Linked DNA regions of Mus musculus. The protein of the gene in region 1 purifies or fractionates together with the protein of each later gene. This does not show direct contact. Links are inferred from orthologs where the notes say so. Each region holds a gene or a part of one and is shown in the gene's direction. Other genes may lie near its edges. The genes, in order: Rnf146, Xrcc1, Parp2, Chd1l and Lig3.

Evidence for each region.
Region 2: the proteins of Rnf146 (region 1) and Xrcc1 purify together in Homo sapiens (co-immunoprecipitation; 3 studies listed by BioGRID and IntAct, with this or other methods). This does not show direct contact. The link is inferred for Mus musculus from reciprocal best matches to the Homo sapiens genes RNF146 and XRCC1.
Region 3: the proteins of Rnf146 (region 1) and Parp2 purify together in Homo sapiens (affinity purification with mass spectrometry; 4 studies listed by BioGRID and IntAct, counting the BioPlex papers as one, with this or other methods). This does not show direct contact. The link is inferred for Mus musculus from reciprocal best matches to the Homo sapiens genes RNF146 and PARP2.
Region 4: the proteins of Rnf146 (region 1) and Chd1l purify together in Homo sapiens (co-immunoprecipitation; 3 studies listed by BioGRID and IntAct, counting the BioPlex papers as one, with this or other methods). This does not show direct contact. The link is inferred for Mus musculus from reciprocal best matches to the Homo sapiens genes RNF146 and CHD1L.
Region 5: the proteins of Rnf146 (region 1) and Lig3 purify together in Homo sapiens (co-immunoprecipitation; 3 studies listed by BioGRID and IntAct, counting the BioPlex papers as one, with this or other methods). This does not show direct contact. The link is inferred for Mus musculus from reciprocal best matches to the Homo sapiens genes RNF146 and LIG3.

Annotation. Positions count from the first base shown.
Region 1 is NC_000076.6:29,359,440-29,363,204, reverse strand, and holds the start of Rnf146 (E3 ubiquitin-protein ligase RNF146), read left to right. Parts: upstream 1-1,501; intron 1,502-1,535; coding exon of another isoform or gene 1,536-1,809; intron 1,810-1,859; 5' UTR 1,860-1,920; intron 1,921-3,765. Other genes in the region: Gm30698 (verprolin-like), read right to left, coding at 696-1,501, 1,536-1,809. UniProt on the Homo sapiens protein: E3 ubiquitin-protein ligase that specifically binds poly-ADP-ribosylated (PARsylated) proteins and mediates their ubiquitination and subsequent degradation. May regulate many important biological processes, such as cell survival and DNA damage response.
Region 2 is NC_000073.6:24,545,454-24,549,507, forward strand, and holds the start of Xrcc1 (DNA repair protein XRCC1), read left to right. Parts: upstream 1-1,245; 5' UTR 1,246-1,382; intron 1,383-1,539; 5' UTR 1,540-1,855; coding exon 1,856-1,906; intron 1,907-2,336; coding exon 2,337-2,429; intron 2,430-4,054. Other genes in the region: Pinlyp (phospholipase A2 inhibitor and Ly6/PLAUR domain-containing protein precursor), read right to left, coding at 471-540. UniProt on the Homo sapiens protein: Scaffold protein involved in DNA single-strand break repair by mediating the assembly of DNA break repair protein complexes. Negatively regulates ADP-ribosyltransferase activity of PARP1 during base-excision repair in order to prevent excessive PARP1 activity.
Region 3 is NC_000080.6:50,806,642-50,810,722, forward strand, and holds the start of Parp2 (poly [ADP-ribose] polymerase 2), read left to right. Parts: upstream 1-1,274; 5' UTR 1,275-1,306; coding exon 1,307-1,346; intron 1,347-3,364; exon of another isoform or gene 3,365-3,432; coding exon 3,433-3,573; intron 3,574-3,858; coding exon 3,859-3,929; intron 3,930-4,081. UniProt on the Homo sapiens protein: Poly-ADP-ribosyltransferase that mediates poly-ADP-ribosylation of proteins and plays a key role in DNA repair.
Region 4 is NC_000069.6:97,607,384-97,611,673, reverse strand, and holds the start of Chd1l (chromodomain-helicase-DNA-binding protein 1-like), read left to right. Parts: upstream 1-1,483; 5' UTR 1,484-1,502; coding exon 1,503-1,611; exon of another isoform or gene 1,612-1,736; intron 1,737-4,290. UniProt on the Homo sapiens protein: ATP-dependent chromatin remodeler that mediates chromatin-remodeling following DNA damage.
Region 5 is NC_000077.6:82,779,657-82,783,917, forward strand, and holds the start of Lig3 (DNA ligase 3), read left to right. Parts: upstream 1-1,452; 5' UTR 1,453-1,620; intron 1,621-1,739; exon of another isoform or gene 1,740-1,828; coding exon of another isoform or gene 1,829-1,986; exon of another isoform or gene 1,987-2,121; intron 2,122-3,689; coding exon of another isoform or gene 3,690-3,693; coding exon 3,694-4,243; intron 4,244-4,261. UniProt on the Homo sapiens protein: Isoform 3 functions as a heterodimer with DNA-repair protein XRCC1 in the nucleus and can correct defective DNA strand-break repair and sister chromatid exchange following treatment with ionizing radiation and alkylating agents.

The DNA of each region.
Region 1 (3,765 bases):
ACATTTTTAATCCCCCCAACCCCTTCCCTCAATGGTACTAGGGATTGAACCCAGATCCTCAAGTAAGGTGAATCAGCCTCCTACCGCTAGATCCCTTTGAAATTAAGAATATTTTAACATCTGAAGCCTATGAAATAGACCCACATGCTTGCTCACATCGACTCACCTATTCAATGTCTTATCCCTTTCAACGTACATTGATGTACAACCTTTTCTCTTCAGGCTATAAAAGTTCATATAATATTTCCTATAACAACTGAATGAATAACCCGAACCCATGCTCTGGATTTACAGCTATTAATGTTAAGCAGATGAGCTCTTCCTTTGGATCAGTGGCCTTGAAACCCTATAAATAGGTGCACAGTACATTTTTCAGTCCTGAATTCAAACAGTGGATGTAACCTCAAAATGCAACATTGTTGCAAGCACAATGCAAACAGTTACAGAATGCGGAAATACTTTCAAAGGTGAAAAGGTTCTCTGGTCCATTTTGTGCAACTTCAAGTAGAGAAAACTGTTCTGAAAAAGATCATGTGCCGGTTAAAATGAACAAGGACTAGATTTTGATGTGTAACACCATATGCTTGCCATAAAACTAACCCATGAAATTTATTCTAGATTCGCGGGACGATTTCTTCTTCTAGCTTCCTATGCTGTTAGGGTTTAAAAGACACCCCAGCACACCCCCTCTCCCATTACATATCTGGCCATTTGTGAGGTGAATAAATTGGAGCATCTCGGGGACCATCCAGTCCACGCCGTGACTTTTCTTGTGCCTTTTTTGTATAAGGAACAAGCGGTAGTCTCTCCAAGGGCACGGCCAAAGGAAACATAGGACTTGACCCAAGGCTGAGTTTTGGAAAGGCTCTTCTTCCTGGTACTGAAGGTCTAGCTTCCTCCCACAAGCCACCTAGATGGACCTCCACCAGTTCAGAACCAGGAGGCCACAAGATGCGCCACGCAGAGGGTGAGGGAGGACCGGAACAGGGACAAGGAGCAGCCCGGTCGCAGCAAGGGACAGAGAAGAGCAGCAGCCAGCGTGGGGACCGCCAGCCAGGGCCGCCGCGCGCGGGATCACGGTGAGGGGGCGTGGCTTCCGCCGGCGCGGCCCCGCCCCTTGAGCGCCGGGCGGTCACGTGACGGCCGCGCGCGTCCCCGTCCGCTGCGGGCTCCGAAGCGGAGGAGAAAAGACTGCGAGGTGGCTGCGGCGGCGGCCGAGAGGTGGGCTCCGGGCCGGACCGGTGAGGAGCGCGGGGGGCCGTGGGCTGCGGGCCTCGGCGGGGCACTGCGGCTTCGTTGGCTGCGAGGCGGCGCTCGGAGTCCGCGGCGGGCGGCGGCGGGTCGGGGGCCGGTAGGACGGGGACGCCCTTGGCCAGCGCGGCCCGGACGGGCGCGCGGAGGGAGGCCGAGCTGGCGCAGCCCGGACTGTGACGGGCGCGGCCCCGGCCATTACTGCGCAGGCAGGCCAGGCTGCGGGCAGCTCCAGCGGGCTCGACCGGGCCTCAGTCGGCCACGGGCTGCATGCTATCTTCCGCCTGCCCTGCCGCCGCCGCCGCCGCCGCGGCTGTGCCTCTGGGTCTTGCCCAGTGCCCGGAGTCGTCCCCTCCTCCTCGCGCTGGCGGAAGCCGCCGAGCGTTCTTGTTTTGATGGCTCCCCAAACCCGAAACCAGCCTGAGGTGTCGGGATACCAGTTGGGCCTCCCAAGCCGGGTGCATCTTGAGAGCTCCGGCAGTCGCTTTGTTCTGCTTGCTGGATGTGGAGTTTTCTCCTTAACCCTCCACCCCATCTGAGAGCGCACGGGATCCCCATTGTTGTCACTGTCTTATTTTCTGGACTTTTTTTTTTTTTTTTTTTTAAAGAGAAAGGGCTATGTGACATTGTTTTTGAGGATGTGGAAATGGAACCGTCCTCTATAATTAGGTAAGATGTTTCCCCACTGTAAGTTAGCACACGCATTCTGACAACTACATTTTATCTGTGTATGTGTGTGTGTGTGTGTGTGTGTTCTTTTGCAAACTAGATGTGCACCTGGAGCTTGGGCATTGAAAGGCACGTATTGTCATAGAAGTTGAATGCGTAGAACATAACAATAAATGATCTGTATCATTAGACTTTTAAAGAACATGGCATATTAAAGAACAAATTAAGAAAACGACCCACACATACTAGCAGAGCGTGAAAAGCGTCTGGGAGCTGTAGAAACACTTGAAAATAGGTGAAGTAAATCTCATTTTAGAGAAAACTCAAGAGTAACTGCTACAGTAAAGATGGAGTTTTGGATATGTTTGCTTGGGTCTTGGATATCATAGAGTTTATTTATGTCTTAATTGGGCGTGTGTAATGGGGAAAGAATGAAAACCCTGTTATTAAACGTTTGAAAGTTTCTGTTTTGTGCTGTTTAAGAACTGAGTCGAATTGTAGTCATGGGGAAATGTCCCAAATAACTGTTCATTAGATAACAGGAATGCAAACATAAATGATTTTTTTTTTTTTGTAGGAGACATGCCATTTAGTAAAAGTGCCACTTTGAAACTGTTGGAGGGTTTGTTTTGTTTTATTTTTTGGATCCAACATGATTCCTTGACTTTGAAGAAGAAAATAATAGGAAGAATTTTTCATATCCATCTGTTTAAAACATATTTTCTGTCAGCCATATATGAGTTTGAAGGACTTATCACATTTCCCTATCAGTATGAGAGATGGAAGATCCGAGTCTTTTCTACCTCCTTGCTTGGTTGCCTTCTTGATCACAGAGTCTGAACTTGGGTAACTGCTGGGTGGATTAGAAACAGTCTTTTTGAGCATACACACTGTTTACACTAGTCTACAGCTTCCTTTGCTTCTTTGTATACTCTCATTTACCTTTCTAGTTAGTTAATACAAAGCCTGTTGTTAAAGGCCTGCTAATTAAAATGTTTGGAGTTGTCCAATTACAGAGGCTGGCTAGAGCAAAGTAACAAAAGCATAGGGATAACTTGGCAAAGGTCACTCACCAGTTAATAAGAGGACTTTCTTATTTATAGAATGTCTGCCAGCCTGAAACATCTGTTAGATGAGAATACATGTATTACATATAAATATAAATTGACATTTGTATCTCATGAGTTAATGAAATCAATACAACGCCCACTTTGCAGAGAAGGAATTTAAAGCCTTACACTTAAGTATAAGGACGGAGACAAAAGTAAATAGAGTCACAGGATGGGGCTTCTTAAGGGCAGTCATACACAAGGCAAGAAGATCCCTCAAAAGTATGGAACCCCACTTAACTGAACTGGGTTTTGACAGAACACTTATTTCCAAGCTTAACTTAGACTTTTAAAACTGATTTGATGATGAAGTATAAAAATTGACACATTGTAACAGTTACATACTTGTGAATTTGGGAATCTTTCTTAAGAAGTTTTAAGATGTGTTTGTTAAATCCCATCTGACCCCTACTCATTTTTCTTGTGTTTATAATAGAGACATATGTAAGTAAACAGATACACATAATAAGGTTTGTAGTCCCCCTATTGATATGTTTTCTATATAGTGTATTCTGTTTGAGTAACTCTTATTTCATTACACCTTAACTTTAAATAGGATAAGCAGAAAATGTCCAACTGTATATAATTTGACATTTATATTTTTATTTCTATTGTGATATGTTCATCTTTTTTCTTTGATTCGCCTTTTTTTTTCCTTAAAGAAACAATATTTTATTCAAGTTTATTATCTAGGGACGGTGGATCTTTAAAAAGTTTGGCTGGCTTAAAATTAATC
Region 2 (4,054 bases), on another chromosome or scaffold:
CAGGCAGAGGTACCTGACTCTGAGGTCTGGGTCCTACATTTGAAAGGGAGACTGAGGCCCAGAGGTATCGCTGGCATCAGTTCCTTGGTCCTGACAGAGGAGGAACCTAGCCATTTGGGTCACAGGGACAGTGAAGCTGGCTTGGAGTACTGTGTCTAAGTAAAAGAGTAAGATGAGGTCCTGAATCCCTCTAGGTCCAGAGAGAAAGGCCATCTCTCTCCTTATTACTAATTTTAAAGTTTGCCTTTGATGGCCAAGCTCTCTCATCTGCTTTCCTAGAATTCAGATGTCATGTTCTGAGGCCCTTCCTAGAGGACAGACCATGCAGGGCCCATCAAGCCTTCTCAGACCCCAGGTTTTCACCTCTTTATTCTCCTAAATCTCATTTCTCAGGCTATCCCTCTCTTGAGGACATTGCCCAATGCCCTCTGAGGTACTGGGGAAGAGGACCAGGTCCCTTTGTCACTTACCGAGACCCAGGAGGGTACAGAGCAGTGTGAAGGCCAGCAGGAAGGTCCTGTGTCTTCTAAACAGAATCATGGTGTGTGAACCTGTAGTCCCAGGTCCTCAGCCCTTATAAGAAGCTGGGGAAGGGCGGGTCTGGTCCCACCTTCACCCTGGGGTGAGAAATAGCTGAGCTCAGAACCCATGGGAGTCTTCCACAGCCTCCGGGTCAGAGCCACGGAACCAGCATCCACAAGAAAACTGAACCACTTGGACCCAGCCCTTTTCTGCACCTGGGCCCAAATTTCTTCCACCTGGACCCAGAAGCTCAGTTATGTATCCAAGCACCTTTTTTTAATTGTTGTTGTTCACAAATCTTAAGGTAGGAGTGGGTCATCTGATTCCCTGAGGGTGCAGAGCAACTTTGGAGACTGGCATCCATCCTCTTCTCCTTTCCCAAGGAGGCGCCCAGCGTAGGTTGGGTCCTAACCGGGGAGCGCCCAGCATGTCTAGACCCGTCCTGCGGGGGCCGGGCGCCTTGTGGCCTTTCCTTTCTCTTTCGTGTGCCTGCCTCACCTTCATGCTTCTGTATTCGAGCTGTGTCCAGCTCCAACCCCACCCAGGGATGTGCCCCTGGGTCTTGAGGGGACTGAACAAAAGAGGTCCTGTCAGCAGACAGAGACGGGCAAAGTTGGAGACAAATGCTTACAAGGCATTGGGGAACCAAGGTATTTGTGGACGCACGCAAGTATATTGTGCACAATTTGTATTAAGATCTTTCTCCCTCTCTTTTGGTGTTAGGTCATGAGCTAAGAGAGGTCTGAGATCTTTGTCGGCCATCTGTCTGTCGATGTTCGTCTCTGTGTGTCCATCCGTCCGTCCGTCTGTTTGTCTGCATTTGGAGAGAGAAGGGGAACAGAGCGTGTCCGCAACAACAGGTGCCAGAGATCTTATTTCAAACAGGATTCAGGCTTCAGGAAACTCTCAGCTTCAGCGTTTCTGAGCAAGGCTCTGGTTTGGTTGGTGACCTCACGGTCCAATGACCAGGGCAAATTACACGTAGGACCCAATCACTGAGGCCGCTCTTGTTGCTAGGTTCCCAGGAAGCCGAGTCTCCACGTTATCAGGCGGCTAGGCCGGAGAGTGGTGGAACCTGAGAGAGGCGGGGCCGGAGGGGGAATGCCTGTTGCTAAGGGAACCCGGCGCCTCGCTCGCGGAGAGGCCCAACCGAGCATGCGCAGTGTTGACGTGTGCGCCGGCGCGCCGCGGTTTGAAAGGCCCGAGCCTTGCGCGCTTGCGCACTGAGTCCCGTGCAGGGCGCGCGCGCTCCCCCAACCTTCTCCGGGGGCCCCCCGGAGCTGCAACCCTTCTTCTTCATTCCCTGGACGGTCGGGCGTCCACGGGCGTGGACATGCCGGAGATCAGCCTCCGCCACGTCGTGTCCTGCAGCAGCCAGGACTCGGTGAGGGGCTGACGTGGGAGCAGCGGGGAGACAGGGGCTTCCTGAGGGATGCTGAGGACTTTGGAAGCGCAAAGGGGGGGGGGGATCTTGGCGGGATTCTGAGCGGGGCTCCGGGTGGGGTTTCCAGAGGCTGGACGTGCATTCCGAGAGAGACGGGCAGTTAGGGAAGTTTGGGGCCACTGTGGAGAGTAAGGAAAAAGAGGGGCCTGGGAAGTTCTAACTGTGAAGAAAAACTCGGTGAAAGGAAAACTCGAGGCAGGGGTGTGTGTATGCGTGTGTGTGTGTGTGTGTGTGTGTGTGTGGTGGGACTGGCGTGAAGTCAAGTGTGGAGAGTCGGCTAGCTCTTGGGAGTTTAAACATTCAAAAATAATCTTATTTTTAAAAGTCAGCTTTATTTAAAGAACTTCCACCTTTCCACCCTTGCCTGCAGACCCATTGTGCCGAAAATCTTCTCAAGGCGGACACTTACCGGAAGTGGCGGGCAGCCAAGGCAGGAGAGAAGACCATCTCTGTGGTCCTACAGGTGATGCTGCCATCTCCCACCTCCTCATTCCCGGGGCAGTGAGACCCCCGCTCACATTCCACTGCCAGCTGGCTGGAGGTTGAGTCGTTTCCTTTCTGTAGTAGAGAGCTTGCTCGGCTAACTTGCCTGGAAAATGGGCTTAGAAATCCCTGTGCCTCCAGGAATCCTTGGGTAACCCTGAGTAGGTTGACTCTACTTCTGGGCCTCAGTTTCATCAGCTGGGACAGTGTCAGCCATTACTGTTAACTGTGTCCCCCGGGGCCAGAAGGTGGCCAAGAAGAGTATCTCCATAAATCAGTTTCATTGTAAAGACGACCGACATGGAAGGGTGGATGGCTCAGGCCTGTAATCCTGGTTGCTTGGGAAGTTGAGATAGGATAACAAGTTCAAGGCCAGCCTGCACAACTTAGAACCTGTCTGGAAATGAGAAATAACTACCCTCACGAGGACTATTAACATAGGATTAGGCAGATAGCTCGGCTGTTCAGGGCTTGCCTGGAGCATGTCAGACCCTTCCTTGGTTCCATCCCTAGTACCTCAGAGAGTAAAGGAATGAAACGTGTAGGGAAGGGAAGTTTTGTTTGATTGGTTTTATTGTTTTGTTTGTGAGATAGAGTCTCTCTACGGAGCCCTGGTTGTCCTGGAACTCACTCTATAGACCATGCTGGCCTCCAACTTACAGAGATCCTCCTGCCTCTGCTTTCAGAGTGCTGGGATTAAAAGCATGTACCACCCCACCCTATTCTCCTTTTAAAATTTTTCTTAAATTGAAGCTAGTCTTGAACTCCTGATCCTTGTCTGTCTATCTGGGGCAGAGGAGTTCCAAGTGTATACCATCATGCCTAGCATCTGTCAGTTTGCCTTTCCTTCATTTAGCTTACAACACACACACACACACACACTCAGTACTGTGCAGGCTAGGCAAGAGGTTACTAATTGAGCCATGTCCCTATCTTTCTGACTTTGACTACTTTTAAATTTATTTTAAGCTGGGCAGTGGTCATGGCACACCTTTAATCCCAGCAGTTGGGAGGCAGAAGCAGGTGGATCTCTGAGTTTGAGGCCAACCTGGTCTACAGAGTGAGTTCCGGGACAGCCAGAGCTACATAGAGAAGCTCCCATGGGGAGTTAGGGAGTTGTTTCTGACAGGTACAGAAACTTGAGGAAGGGGCTAGAGAGATGGCTCAGTGGGTAAGAGTGCCAACCGGTCTCCCAGAGGACTGAGTTCAGTTCTTAGCACCTGTGTCTGATGGCATACAGCAACAGCCTGTAAGCCTAGCCCCAGAGGCTCTCATACCTCTGGTCTCTGGGGCTTCATCCCCCTTTCATACACATATTAAAAACAATAAAAATGTATCTCAGGGCTGGAGAGATGGCTCAGCGGTTAAGAGCACTGGCTGCTCTTCCAGAGGTCCTGAGTTCAATTCCCAGCAACCACATGGTGGCTCACAACCATCTGTAATGGAATCCGATGTCCTCTTCTCGTGTGTCTGAAGACAGCTACAGTGTACTAATATACATAAAATAAATGAATAAATTAAAAAAATGTATCTTAAAGAAAAATCAGTGGGAGAAGGAAATTAGATGCTTTTAAGCACCTGCCCACTGCCAGTTGGGTGTTGACC
Region 3 (4,081 bases), on another chromosome or scaffold:
GGCTCACCCAGCTTTTTTTTTTTTTTTTTTTTTTAATGAGTTTGTATGTGTTTGTGTACGTATCACTTGTGCTTTTTATTTATTTATTTATTTATTTTTTAATTTAATTGCCTGTTTTCTAAAGAAAGCTCAAGAGGACATGGAGTTAGTTGGATGGAGACCTGGAGGAGATGAGGGACGGGAAATGGTAATCAAAGTTTTATTTTTCAGTTTTGGTCATTAATCGATCTGAGGCATCCACACACTAGTCAAGTCACAGCTTCGCGCCTTTGTAAGGAAAGCTGGGCTTGGTATGAGCCCTATTCCACTCCTATCTCAATTGCTTCTCCTTTCTCAGTGTTCTTCGCTGTAGCTCAACTCTGCTCATTTACTTCATGAGGAATTCCCAGCCTGTTTCTCTATTATGATACTATGTGCTTTTCCTAAGTACTTATTACAGTTACAGGTTCATTTTTTTGGTTTTGTAATAAGTCTACATATATATTCTCCCAATAACAAGTTACATGAAGGTATGAACTACGTTTATTTTTGCTAGACAAATAGCTAAAGTATAGCCCCAAAAATCCAACAGTGGGAGGGGGTTCATATCATGTTTCACTAAATGTTGTCAAACTCCCTTCTATATTTTTATGGTTTAATCCATATTTGAACAACTCTCAAGCTTGGTCTTTTTATAGTAGAGGGTTGTGGTCAATACAGTCACAACTGTTCAAAATGAATGAATGACTGACTGAATGCTGAGACACAGAGTAAATATATAAAACCCTTTCGAGTCAATACTCCAAAAGGATCTCGATCAAAAAAGAGGGCGGGGGAGAGTAGTCTGAATTGGGTTATGAGGCCCGGGAGGTGCCTCACCTCAGCCATTGAACTCGCACTGCTGGCCGTGAGTCTGTTCCAAGCTCCGGCGAGGGAGGCATCCGCTCCGGCGAGGGAGGCATCCGCCCCGACTCGGGGCTTCTCCTGCCCAGTCTGCCCAAGCGTAGAGCCCTGCTCTCTGGGAACTCACCTCCCCGCTCGGGGAGAGCCCGGTTAGGGCCGCGGGAGGCCCAAGTCTCAGACCTTCCCAGGGGCCGAAGAGTGACACGCACTCAGCACGTGGCCCCGCTGATGAGCTTCCTCCGCCCACTTTCAGGATGTAGACCGGCCGCCACTATAAGGCTCGAAAGAGGAATAAATTTTTCGTTTAGGGTGATTTCCCACAAAGCACAGCGCGTAATTTGCATGCGCTCTACCCCAGGCTCCTGTGCTAGACAAGAAGCCCGCGCATCCGGGCAAGGGATGATGACGTCGTCCTTCAAGAGCGATGGCGCCGCGGCGGCAGAGATCAGGCTCTGGAAGGCGAGGTGGGAACTCAGTCCGCAGGCTGAATGCTCGGCCCAGTGTCACAGGGAGCCTCTCGCTTTTTCATATTACACTTCAGTCCAAAGAGGCGGGTCACGGATAAGCGCTTACAGTAAAGTGATTAGCTGTAGTCAACCTTTTAAGATACATCCGATTTCAGAAAGTAAAATTCGAATCTTAGAATTGGTGTCTGTAGACCGTATACTGTGTCTGTGGTCTCGGTTTTATATTTCGGGCAACTAAAGTTCAATGAATTTACAGGTTCTAAAGCTCCAAATAGCAACGCTGGCAGCAAGTTGGTCAGTCCAGACCGTTGAACACTTTACTGATGACCATGATGAAGTGGTCTAGTTTGAAGGAAGGTATTAGAGACCAAAGGCTATGAGACCCATGTAATGAACTGTAAAGATCTATGTAAACTTATTTTATCCTATTATTAATATCCCATCAGGATAGCAATTTAGGCAGTATTGCTCAGTGAGTGGTGTGCAAGTTATTAAGAGCATGTTGAATTATTTCTTTAGAAATTATTTAATCTTTATGTATTTTATCTGCATATATATATATATATGCACCATGTATGTGCCTGGAAGTGTTGGACCCCCCGTACTAGAGTTACTGACAGTTGTGGTCTGCCATATGAGAGATGGAACTTAAACCCAGAGCCTCGGGAAGAATCAGGCAGCTCCTTCATCACTGACCCACCTCTCCAGCTACTTTAAGTTCTTTCTTTAAAGGATATTATGAGAGCCTGGTGGGCATGTTGGCTCACACCTTTAATGCTCGCACTTGGGAGGCAGAGGCAGGAGGATCTCTGTGAGGTCCAGGACAGCCAGGGCTATATAGAGACCCTGTCATTTAAAAAGGGGGGTGGGGGGAGGAGGGTTGTCAAGAAGCTGGAGAGTTAGCTCAATGTTAAAAACCACTTGTTAGCCAGGCGTGGTGGCACACGCCTTTAATCCCAGCACTCGGGAGGCAGAGGCAGGCGGACTTCTGAGTTTGAGGCCAGCCTGGTCTACAAAGTGAGCTCCAGGACAGCCAGGGCTATACAGAGAAACCCTGTCTCGAAAAACCAAAAAAAAAAAAAAAAGAAAACAAAACCAAAAAAAAAAAAAAACACTTGTTGCCCTTATAGAGGGTCTGAGTTTGATTCCAAAATCCCACATGGCAAGTCATAACCACCCTCCCAGACCTCCAGGTACACCAGACATCCAGACATGCACGTGGCACACATACATATACAGACAGAACACCCATACACGTAAAAGGAAACAATAACCTTTGGGGGTTTGTTTCTTTGTTTGTTTTGGGTTTTATGTTTGTTAACAGTCAAGGGCAGAGACAACTCTACTGTCTCTGACAGCAACCTTAGTTTTTCAGAGACCTCCACTCAGGCAAACCTAGTATTCTTGCCTTTAAAGTAGAAATGACTTTCAAGAGTATGCAAAATGAACCAAAGTTGGAAGTTTATTACAGGAGATGCCAATATATGTTTTAAGCACAAGGGTTAAAAGAAACGGAATGACTGGGAAGAGAGACGCCACAGAACATGAGTGTGGGCTTCTCAAAGAAGAATCACCCTTCACTGTCTTTAGAATAGACATGTATGTAAGATTTGTGATTTTTGGCTCTTCAAGGAGTTGTTAAAGAATTTAAATGAGATCACAGTTCCTGAGGAGATCTGACAGAATTCCAGAGTCCAAGTCTGGATGATAAGGGATGCAGGGAGTTAGGTTATCAGCATTGTCAACAATGCTCGTGGTCTGTTTAAGACTCCCATAAAATGGGAAAGAAATGAACCAGGCCCATTGTCATATTCATTTAGGCCGACAGCCCAATTCAGTGTCATTTTAACATGAAAATATCTGAAGATCTGCATCAGCAGCCTTCATAGAATGTTAATTGGGCTGAATTTCTTGCTTCTCAACTTCAGAGAGGCTTCATCCTGACTCGGGGATAGGAGGGGCTGCTTTTCCTTTTCATAGCCATCTAATTTTCCTGTGTTTTTATTTTGCTTCAGTGTTGTTTCAGTAAAGTTAGATCATCTTCATAGTGCAGTAATTCTTGGTATATTGTTCTTGCCATAAGTGCTAAATGAAGCCAAGAAAGTTGATAATGGCAACAAAGCAACAGAAGACGACTCTCCTCCTGGCAAGAAGATGCGCACGTGCCAGAGAAAAGGGCCTATGGCTGGAGGGAAGGACGCAGACAGGACAAAAGACAATCGAGGTAATGGGCCAGGGAGGACATGGGACAACTCTTGGGTTTCCAGAAGAATGGGGATAACATTTGTTCCTTCCCTCTTCAGGATCTAATTAATTTCTCTATCACCTGGGCATTCTGCAGTACCAGTCTACTTTGTTGAATATTTTCATAGATTTGAGATGGATTAGAACCCAGGCAGAAGACCTGGACTGCTCGGGAAGGGCAAAGTTAATTATGACAGCTTTGTAGCCAAGACGGCCCTTTTGATTCCCACATCAGTAACGGCAGTGCGTGTTTGTGTTCCCTCAGACTCTGTGAAGACCTTGCTGTTAAAGGGCAAAGCCCCTGTGGACCCAGAGTGTGCAGCCAAGCTGGGAAAGGTAAAAGCACCTGCAATGGAAGGCAGAGTTTTCTTGTCTTATGATGATCCCTGTCTAGAATGTCGGTGGTGCTCAGTTTAAAAATACTTCCGAAAATATTGCTAGTGATGACTTCTCTCCAGAGTTGAGAAGTAGGGGTGATGAGGTTTCAG
Region 4 (4,290 bases), on another chromosome or scaffold:
CCAACCCTTGGTAAGCATTTCTAGTGACTTGGGGACTCAAGAGTACGGTCAGAAGTGCTGCCAGAGTTTTGATTTGGGGGGACTCTCAACAAACCAGGTCCAGCCATTTGCCCCTCCCCCCCCAATCAAATGGAAAAACGACTAGTGAAAAAAGGACTGTATTCAATACAGCTCTATTGGAAAACGGGGGCAAGTTTGTTCAGTTCCACTGGTAAGGGACAGATAACACACTATGTTCTTGTAAGAGCCCACTAGTAGTTCATATTATAAACAAGAAACTTCAAGTACCCACTGAGAACTGTTTTTTTTTTTTTTTTTTTGAGTTAATCTTTAACCTCAACGTAATTGATCACAGAGGGGTGCGATGACCTTGGTGTATCTGACACCTCCACTCTTGATCTGGTTGTACCTCAGGTCTGGTTCTGTGTGTTCCTGGAGAAGTCTGTATAACGGGATAATTGATCACAGAGGGGTGCGATGACCTTGGTGTATCTGACATCTCCCCTCTTGATCTGGTTGTACCTCAGTTCTGGTTCTGTGTGTTCCTGGAGAAGTCTGTATAACGGGATGGGTAAAGTCCCTTAGTCATTAGAGGACTACTTCTGCATAGTGGGGCCAGCCTTGGTCCTTCTTAGGACAACGTGGCCATTAGTTATTTGTTATTTGTTTTTGTTTTTATCACACATAGATGTTCTGTTTGAATGGCTACTCTTGGAATCTTGAGGGGATGGGGGGGGGGGAAGTTCTCTCGCACTTTATTTTTAAGAAAAGGTTTACTGCACCTTAGGCTGGTTTCAAACTTGTGTAGCTGAGGCTGACCGTGAGCTCCGGTCCTCCTGCCGACAGCTCCCTAGGGCTAGGATTACAGGTGCTCACCCTCATGCCCCACCCGAGGGCTTGGTACATTCGAGGCAAGCATTCTGCTAACTGAGCTTTGATCTTTATTATTTATTGACACCTTCCTGCTTTGCAGCCCAGGCTAGACTGAACTCACAAATTCTCCTGCCTCAGCCTCCCCAATGCTGAGATTACAGGAATGTACCACCAGGGTCTTTTCTTTGAATGTATCTTGTCACTACACATTTTAAGAGATAAAGTTAATCTTATTTTGGTGTTTTTAGTCATACATGAAGAAAAAGGTTAGATAATATAAGACGTATCTACCTTGTAGTACTAGTTTTTAGGCATGTGCATCGTAACTGAAAACATGGAAAGCTGCTCAGGAATCGGACCCAAAGTTTAAAGAAGACAGATAAGAAATTAAGGGGGGGTGGGGAGCTTGCCAAGTTTTGAGCTTGCTGTTAGCTACCCAAGCAACCCAAGTTAGGAGTCAGAGCTTTTAGCAAAGGCAGCCTCTAGGTCCTAGTCGCAGACGCACACTTAGACCAGAGTCTTCCGCACCTGCGTGCTAAGGAAGCGTGGGAAGGCGCGCGAGCTGCGCCCTCTGGCGGCGGTGCGTTGTACTCCGCACGCGCGGGAGCGAAGGCGCGGGGCCTCTCGGGATGGCGAGCGGCTTGCCGCGCTTCCTGCAGGCGCTGCCGGCCGAACACGGGCCGGAGCCGCTTCGGACGCGGGTGCAGGAACCGGACTTACAGCAGTGGGGCTTGACTGGTGAGCGGGCCGGGGACGCCCGGGGGCGGGCGGGAGCCGGGAAGGCGCGCGGCAGCGCTGGCCTACGCGGGGACAGCGGGGGAGCCAGCAGCTTCCCGGCCGCTCTCGCTCCTCCCAGTCTGCGTTTCCCTGCCGACTGGGCATGCGCACTCACTTGTTGCGGCTCCCTAATGAACTCTCAAAGTTGCGCTGCCCAGCAAAGTTTGTCCTGTCCTGTGCCTCTTGTGCTTTCGTATTAAGCCCACTTGCCATTACGAGTCCCAAGTGAGGGGATCCCACATGTGTGGACCCCAGGTGTGTAGGCTCCAGATGTGTAGACCTCAGTTTGTAGGTTCCAGATTTAGAGACCGCCGGCCTGCAGACCCCAGTGGACCTGGAGCATCCTCATCCTGCGGCGTTCTCTCTATTCCACATCCCAAGACTCCTTTCCTTATGTGTCTGCTGGGAATGTAGTGCTGGTGTAACGGAAAGTCATAATGACTCACCAGTTGTCACCTCGTGGTCGTTATTTGTTGCTGTCGAGAGAGTACTGTGGGGTATGGGGAGCAGATAAACAAAATAAATAGCGGCCCTAGGACCCAGTTTCTTTACTAGCGGATACGTGCTTTTGAAAGCATAAGGAAGCGCTTGACTTACACGTGCCAAGTACCACCAAAAGGTGAGGGTTTGGAAAGGCAACAAAATGTGCCTTTCTGCCAGGCGGTGGCGCACCCTTTAACCCAGCGCTTGGAAGGCAGTGGCAGGTGGATCTCTGAGTTCAAGGTCAGCCTGCTCTACACAGCTAGTTCCATGATAGCCAGGGCTATGTAATAGAGAGACTCGTTCTTTAAAAAAAAAAAAAAAGTTCCGTTAGCTTAGAGGAGGGGCAGATGACGATGAGGGCGAAGTGAAAGACAAGCAGTTCATATTAATATTTTCCATTTATATTCAACTTTAAAATTTTTATTTTTGAGATTATAGTTACACCTCCTCTTTACTTCTTTACACTCTCATAAACCCTCCCATTCTCTCCTTCAAATCCATGTTCCCTCCCCCCACTTAATCGTTATCCTATGCTTATACCTATGTACATAAATACTCCTAGATATACTAGTTCAGTGTGTTTAGTGTCACTTGTATGTACGTTTCAGGGCTGACTGGTTGGCACTGGACAGCCAGTTGGTGTGCTCCTCCCTAGAGAAGACCCCTTTTATTGCTCTTAGCTTTTCTTAGTTGCCTGTAGTTCTTTGTGTAGGATTGAGGCCTCAATGGCTCCTCTCTGTTCATTTTGGCATGCTCACTGGTACTATCTGCATGTGTGGGCAGTCATGTTGGTGACAGTGTAAACAAAGCGTCTGGTGTTACTTGGAGACACAATTTGACAACAAAGTTTTTGACCTTGCTTTCTGTCCCCTCTTCCACAATACCTTAGGTGTGGATCTATCCATTGGGACTGAGTTCTACACTCTGCATTCTAATTGGTTGTGGTCCTCTCTATTGCTCTCCATCTCTGTCAAAGGAAAGTTTCCTTGATGAGGGGAGAGGACTGCGCTTATTTGTGGGTATAAGGACAAGTGTTAGTAGAAGGCAGCATTACAGCTCAGGGTTCTCTGATTCCTGTTTCTCAAGTCCTTCCACCTCTGGGCATGCACCCTAGGTCAATAGAAATGGACTGTCTATTTTGGGGATCTCCTGGACAGCCCCGACAGCACAGTTCAGTTGCCCTTTCTGTTTACTAGAATAAATGCAGTATTCAGAGATGGCAATCCATTGAAAACCTTCTGGCCTTTCTTCCCTGTATGTGCTCATGAAATAATTTATGCCTACAGAAAAAGAAATTTTAGTTTACAATCCTAACAACTCAAAAGAGGGCTTCTCATGTCTTCTATTTGGGTTTTTATTGGGTGGTCTTTGGCTCTGGGAGGGAGCATTGTCAGCCCAGGTGAGAAGAGTGTGTTAAAGCTACATATGTATATTTATACACAGATTTACATTATTATAGGTTTGTTTTGGTTTTAGATACGTAACTGTATGATTCTTTGTGACTTTTTTAGATACCCGTACTGTTATTTTACCCTCCTTTTTCCTTCTGAGTAGTTAGCTAGGTTTCCAGTACAGGTCAGACATGTTTTCCCTCTTGTTGAGCCAGTCTTTTCCCTTCCTCCCAGGAGAGTGCCCCCCTCCCCTTTATCATTCTCCCTATCTGTACCTGATTTAAATCTGGCTTTGTGGACTGGCCTTAGTGTATTAAGCTTATCTTGATTGATGTTTGTCTGCCTATATGCGTGCCAGTGGCCTTGGGATTGATACTTTAAAATATGCAGAAGGGCCAGAACTGTATACAGATCAAATCCAGCTGCATGTAATGGTCCAGGAGGAGCCTATGTGTGCAGGGGCATTCTTGATAAAAGAAAGTGAGCAGACAAGAGGGTGCAGGTTTGAATGCATGGGATAGATATGAAATGTAGATATTATCACAGCCAAATACTTATTACAGTTATGAATTTAATATTTTAGATTTATTATTTTATGTGTGAGTGTTTTGCCTGCATGCATGTGTATGTATTACATGAGCTCCTGGCTCCTATGGAGGTCAGAAGAGGGTATTGTATTCTCTGGGACTAGAGTTACAGATAGTTGTGAGCTTCCACGTGGTACTGGGAGTCTTGAGTCCCCTGCAAGAGTAATAAGTGTTCCTAA
Region 5 (4,261 bases), on another chromosome or scaffold:
CATTCATTTAGAAGTAGATGCAGGCAACATGGCAGCGTCAGATGCCTTTCATCCCAGCACATGGGAGGCACAGGTAGGTGGATTTCTGAGTTTGAGGCCAGCCTGGTCTACAAAGTTTGAGTTCCGGGACAGCCAGGGCTACACAGAGAAACCCGGTCTAAGAAGAGAAAGCCTTTGCAGATACCCACTGCTCCTCACCACAGGCTTTCTGTCTGTGGAGTGCTGAGCTGGAGCCATAACAATGGGAGTTAAGCACGCAGCCCCATCGTTTCTGATGCCCTAGTTCAAAGACAGTAAAACCAAACAGGTGAGTGACAGTAAATATTCTTTAACCGAACACATAAAAAATTGGCCAGCAAATAACTGGAATATATGCACTATTACTATTAATGAGGTATTTTACTCTCTTTGGGGAAGTGTTGGGTACTTGTCAGTGTACAGTGTTCATTTACAGCATCTCTCACTTCAGACTGCTTACATTTCCAGGGCTCAGCAACCGAATATATTGCTTGTGATGAAAGGGTTGGTCAGCACAGGGAAAGTCCATTGGGTTAAGATCAACTCCAGTCAAAATGTTCACGCTTCCTCAACTGGAGCCCTTGAGCCTAAGGCCTTCCGAACTCCAAACCCAGGTTTATCCTGCTGCAAGTTAAGAGAAAACAAAGAGCCTTCACCTCATTTCAAACACCAGGATCTAGCTGGCCTCAGTACAGCAGACACTCAACCTTGAACTCCAGAGAGCCTCCCTCGGCTCATTCTCCAGTTCTGTTAAAGACCTCGTCTATCAGCCCTTCATTTCTATGAACAAATAACTGAGCACCTCACACAGATTCAAGCATACACCTTCCTCTCCATCTCAAGGCCACTTTGATATGGACAACAGCCTTTTAGTGAGTCGGCTTGTCTTAGTCTCTCCCCTGACCAGCTTCAACTATAGTGACCCCTCACAGCGTTCTTTCCCTATGGAAAAAAAGCTAAACTCTTCCTCAGAAATAGAACTTAGTTCCACGATCTGCACTTTATTTACCTAACAAAGCCCAACTGTTTGCCCTTCCCAGACTGAACAAGGCCTGAATACTTTTATTTTTTGAAAAATTAGCCATCTTGAACTCACAGAGCCTATTTGAGGTTTAGAAGCACTAGTTCGCTAAATGACATAAACGGGGCCACAGTCCCTGTTCTTCACATTTTCTAATTACCTTTTTAATTAAAGTAGTGCCTTTTAATTCAGCAAAACTCCTGCGGTGCGGAAGACACAGGTGGAACGACTCGAGCTTCCCATCCCTAGGATCACTGCAATGATTTTTCAACACTACCTTCAATATCTAACAATCTGAGAAACTCTAGGAAGTTCAGGGACGCTGCGCCCCAAGCCGCCACTCCAACCCAACACTCAGTTCAAGATTTCCGGGTAGGAATAGAACAGCGACCCACGTGGCGACCGGAGGGGGCGGGGTCCGAGGGCGCAAGTCGGTTACTGCGCCTGCGCCCTGCCTCCGGCTGGAGTACCCGTATTTAAAGAGACAGGCGGTCTATTCATCGTGCGGGACCCGTGGCCTTGTGGGCGCCTGGTCCGGTGGCTCGTGCGGAGCGTCAGAGCCAGGGCAGCCGAGAAGGCAGGTGAGGGGCGGCGCGGCGCGGAGCGGCGGGCCGCGGTGCGCCGTGTGGGGAGGGCCGGGGCCGAACGCGGCGTGGCTGGAGTGGCCGTGGCTCCTCCCCCGCCCGCCGCTCAGCCTGGGGGCACACCCTCCGTGACGTGGCGCCCCCACGGGAGCCCACGGGAGGCCCGCGGCCCCCGGGACCCTGGGCAGCCACCGGGAAGGGCAGGATGCCAGAGTGGGCATTCTCAGGGGGTCGGGGCCGGGCCGCCGCCGGTCCCTCTCCGCCGCCTTGTTGCGCGGCCGCGGCTCGCCCGCACAGCCTGTGGGCAGAACGGCGTGCTGCTTGCTCTTCGGGCTCCCGGCCTCCTCGCGCCGGTCTCCCCGGGTAGTTATTTGTCGTATCCCGGGATGGGCGATACGACACCCTACCCACCCTACTCTGCGGAAAGTTGAACTCCTACTCGCCCTGAGCTCCTCCTCAGCCCTTGCCGGCCTTCACTCGCCTCTCAGATTCTTAACGGTTAGGGCTTGTGTGACCCCCTGAGTCTGCCAGTTACGGACCTCCCCTCCCCCAAGTCGAACATTGTCAAATACACAAGTTTGGTATACAAACTTCAGAACTCCACGTCCGGCTTGCCCTCGTACTCCTTGTAGTTTTCCTAACCACCCCATGAAGTAGTTCTAATCTTTGGGGGGTTTGTTTTCTTGCTTGTTTTCCTTTTGAGACGGTCTTGACGACGTACCCTGGCTAGACAGAAATTTACTAAGTAAACCAGACTTTCTAGCTTCGAACGCACAGCAATCCTTCTGTCTTTGCCTTCTGATATGATTACAGACGAGAACCACCATAACTAGCTCTTAGTCCTGTTGTAATTGTTGTTGTTTTTTTGTTGTTTTTTAAGATAAAACTGGGGCCGGGTGTGGTAGCACACGCCTTTAATCCCTGCACTCAGAACACTAGCTTGCTCTTCCTAGTGACTTCCAGGACAGCCAGAGCTACATAGAAAAATCTATCTAAAAACAAACAAACAAAAAAACCGAAAAATAAATAATAGAAAATAAACTGAAGTCATGCTTGGTGGTTCATACCTATAATTCTAGGGCTGGAGGTGGGAGGATCGGATCGGCCAACTAAGGTGTCTGGCTAGGGTCCACCTTGTTGGAGAAAACCAAGTCGCCTGATATCTGCCCCCACCTCCCCACCCCGCTGTAGATGGGTAGGCTTGGTCTCCAACCCTTTCTTTAGTAGTACACCTGCTGTGCTCCGCTCTACCTCAGCCTTCTTGCTGCTCTGACACAATATCAATTAAAGTTCTCAGCAGAGTGGGGACTAAAAATAGTTTCCAGTAAATTGAAAATTAAAACTGTAAAGCCACTTAAATAATTACAGATATAAGAAGGGATAGGAATAATCATTTTCCACTTGAATTGGTTCATCACTTGCTTAGATTCTTACAGTCCAGTTATTTCAACCTCCCCTGATTCAGGTCGCCGAATTAAGCAAGGGAATTGCGTATTCTGTTTCTAAGGAACAACTTAGAAACAGCTACTCTTTGAATGAGGTACTACTGTGAGCTGCATTTTACAGATGAAATAGGAGCAGAGAGGGAAAGTAACTGAACAGAGCTCACACAGCAGCTAAATGGCTAAGTAAGGCTCTGAACTTGGGCAGTCCATCTGATTATAGACTCTGATTAGTTTTTTTCTCAAAGGGGCCCTCTTCTGAAATCCTAAAACTGTTATAGTGGCTTCATTGTTTTCTGAAAGTGTCTCATGTGTTATATTTCACAGGGAAACTTCATAAACATAATGTAATTTTTCTTGATTTTTAAGACAAAGCTTCAGTATCTTGGTACTATTTAAAGGTCACCATCCACTATGAGTACCTTTACAATCAGTCTCTACAGTGTTGGTGTTGCACACCCCTTTGGAAACTGGTTTTTCCTGTATCAGAACTCTGGGTGGTAAATATTTAATGCATTGGGAAGTGTTTGGTTAACCACGTGCTCTGTATGAGATTCTAGCCATTGAGAAATTGGAAGCCTGGATTCTTCATGTCTGTCTGTCTGTTTCTACCCTTTTATGCAGCTATATGACTTTGGCTTTCAAGATCCTCTTCCCGAGAAACCTTTGTGCCCTTGGCAGAAAAGAACTGTGCCTGTTCCCAGAACAGAATCGCTGGGCTGCCATAAGTCAGTTCAGCCAGTGGTCGGAAACAAATCTCCTCGGTGGGTGCTGCCTTCTCCAGAGAAGAAAGCCTGTCCTAGCTCTCCAGAGAGGTCATCTAAGACCACGTGCCACCCACCTTACTTTCTGGCCAGGGTCGCATGTGGGACTCTGTACTGGCCCCTGTGCGATGGCAGAGCAGCGGTTCTGTGTGGACTATGCCAAGCGGGGCACAGCTGGATGCAAGAAATGCAAGGAGAAGATTGTAAAGGGCGTGTGCCGCATTGGCAAAGTGGTGCCCAACCCCTTCTCAGAGTCTGGGGGTGATATGAAAGAGTGGTACCACATTAAGTGCATGTTTGAGAAACTGGAACGGGCTCGGGCCACCACAAAGAAAATTGAAGACCTCACAGAGCTGGAAGGCTGGGAAGAGCTGGAAGATAACGAAAAGGAACAGATAAGCCAGCATATTGCAGGTGAGGGGAGAGCCTGCT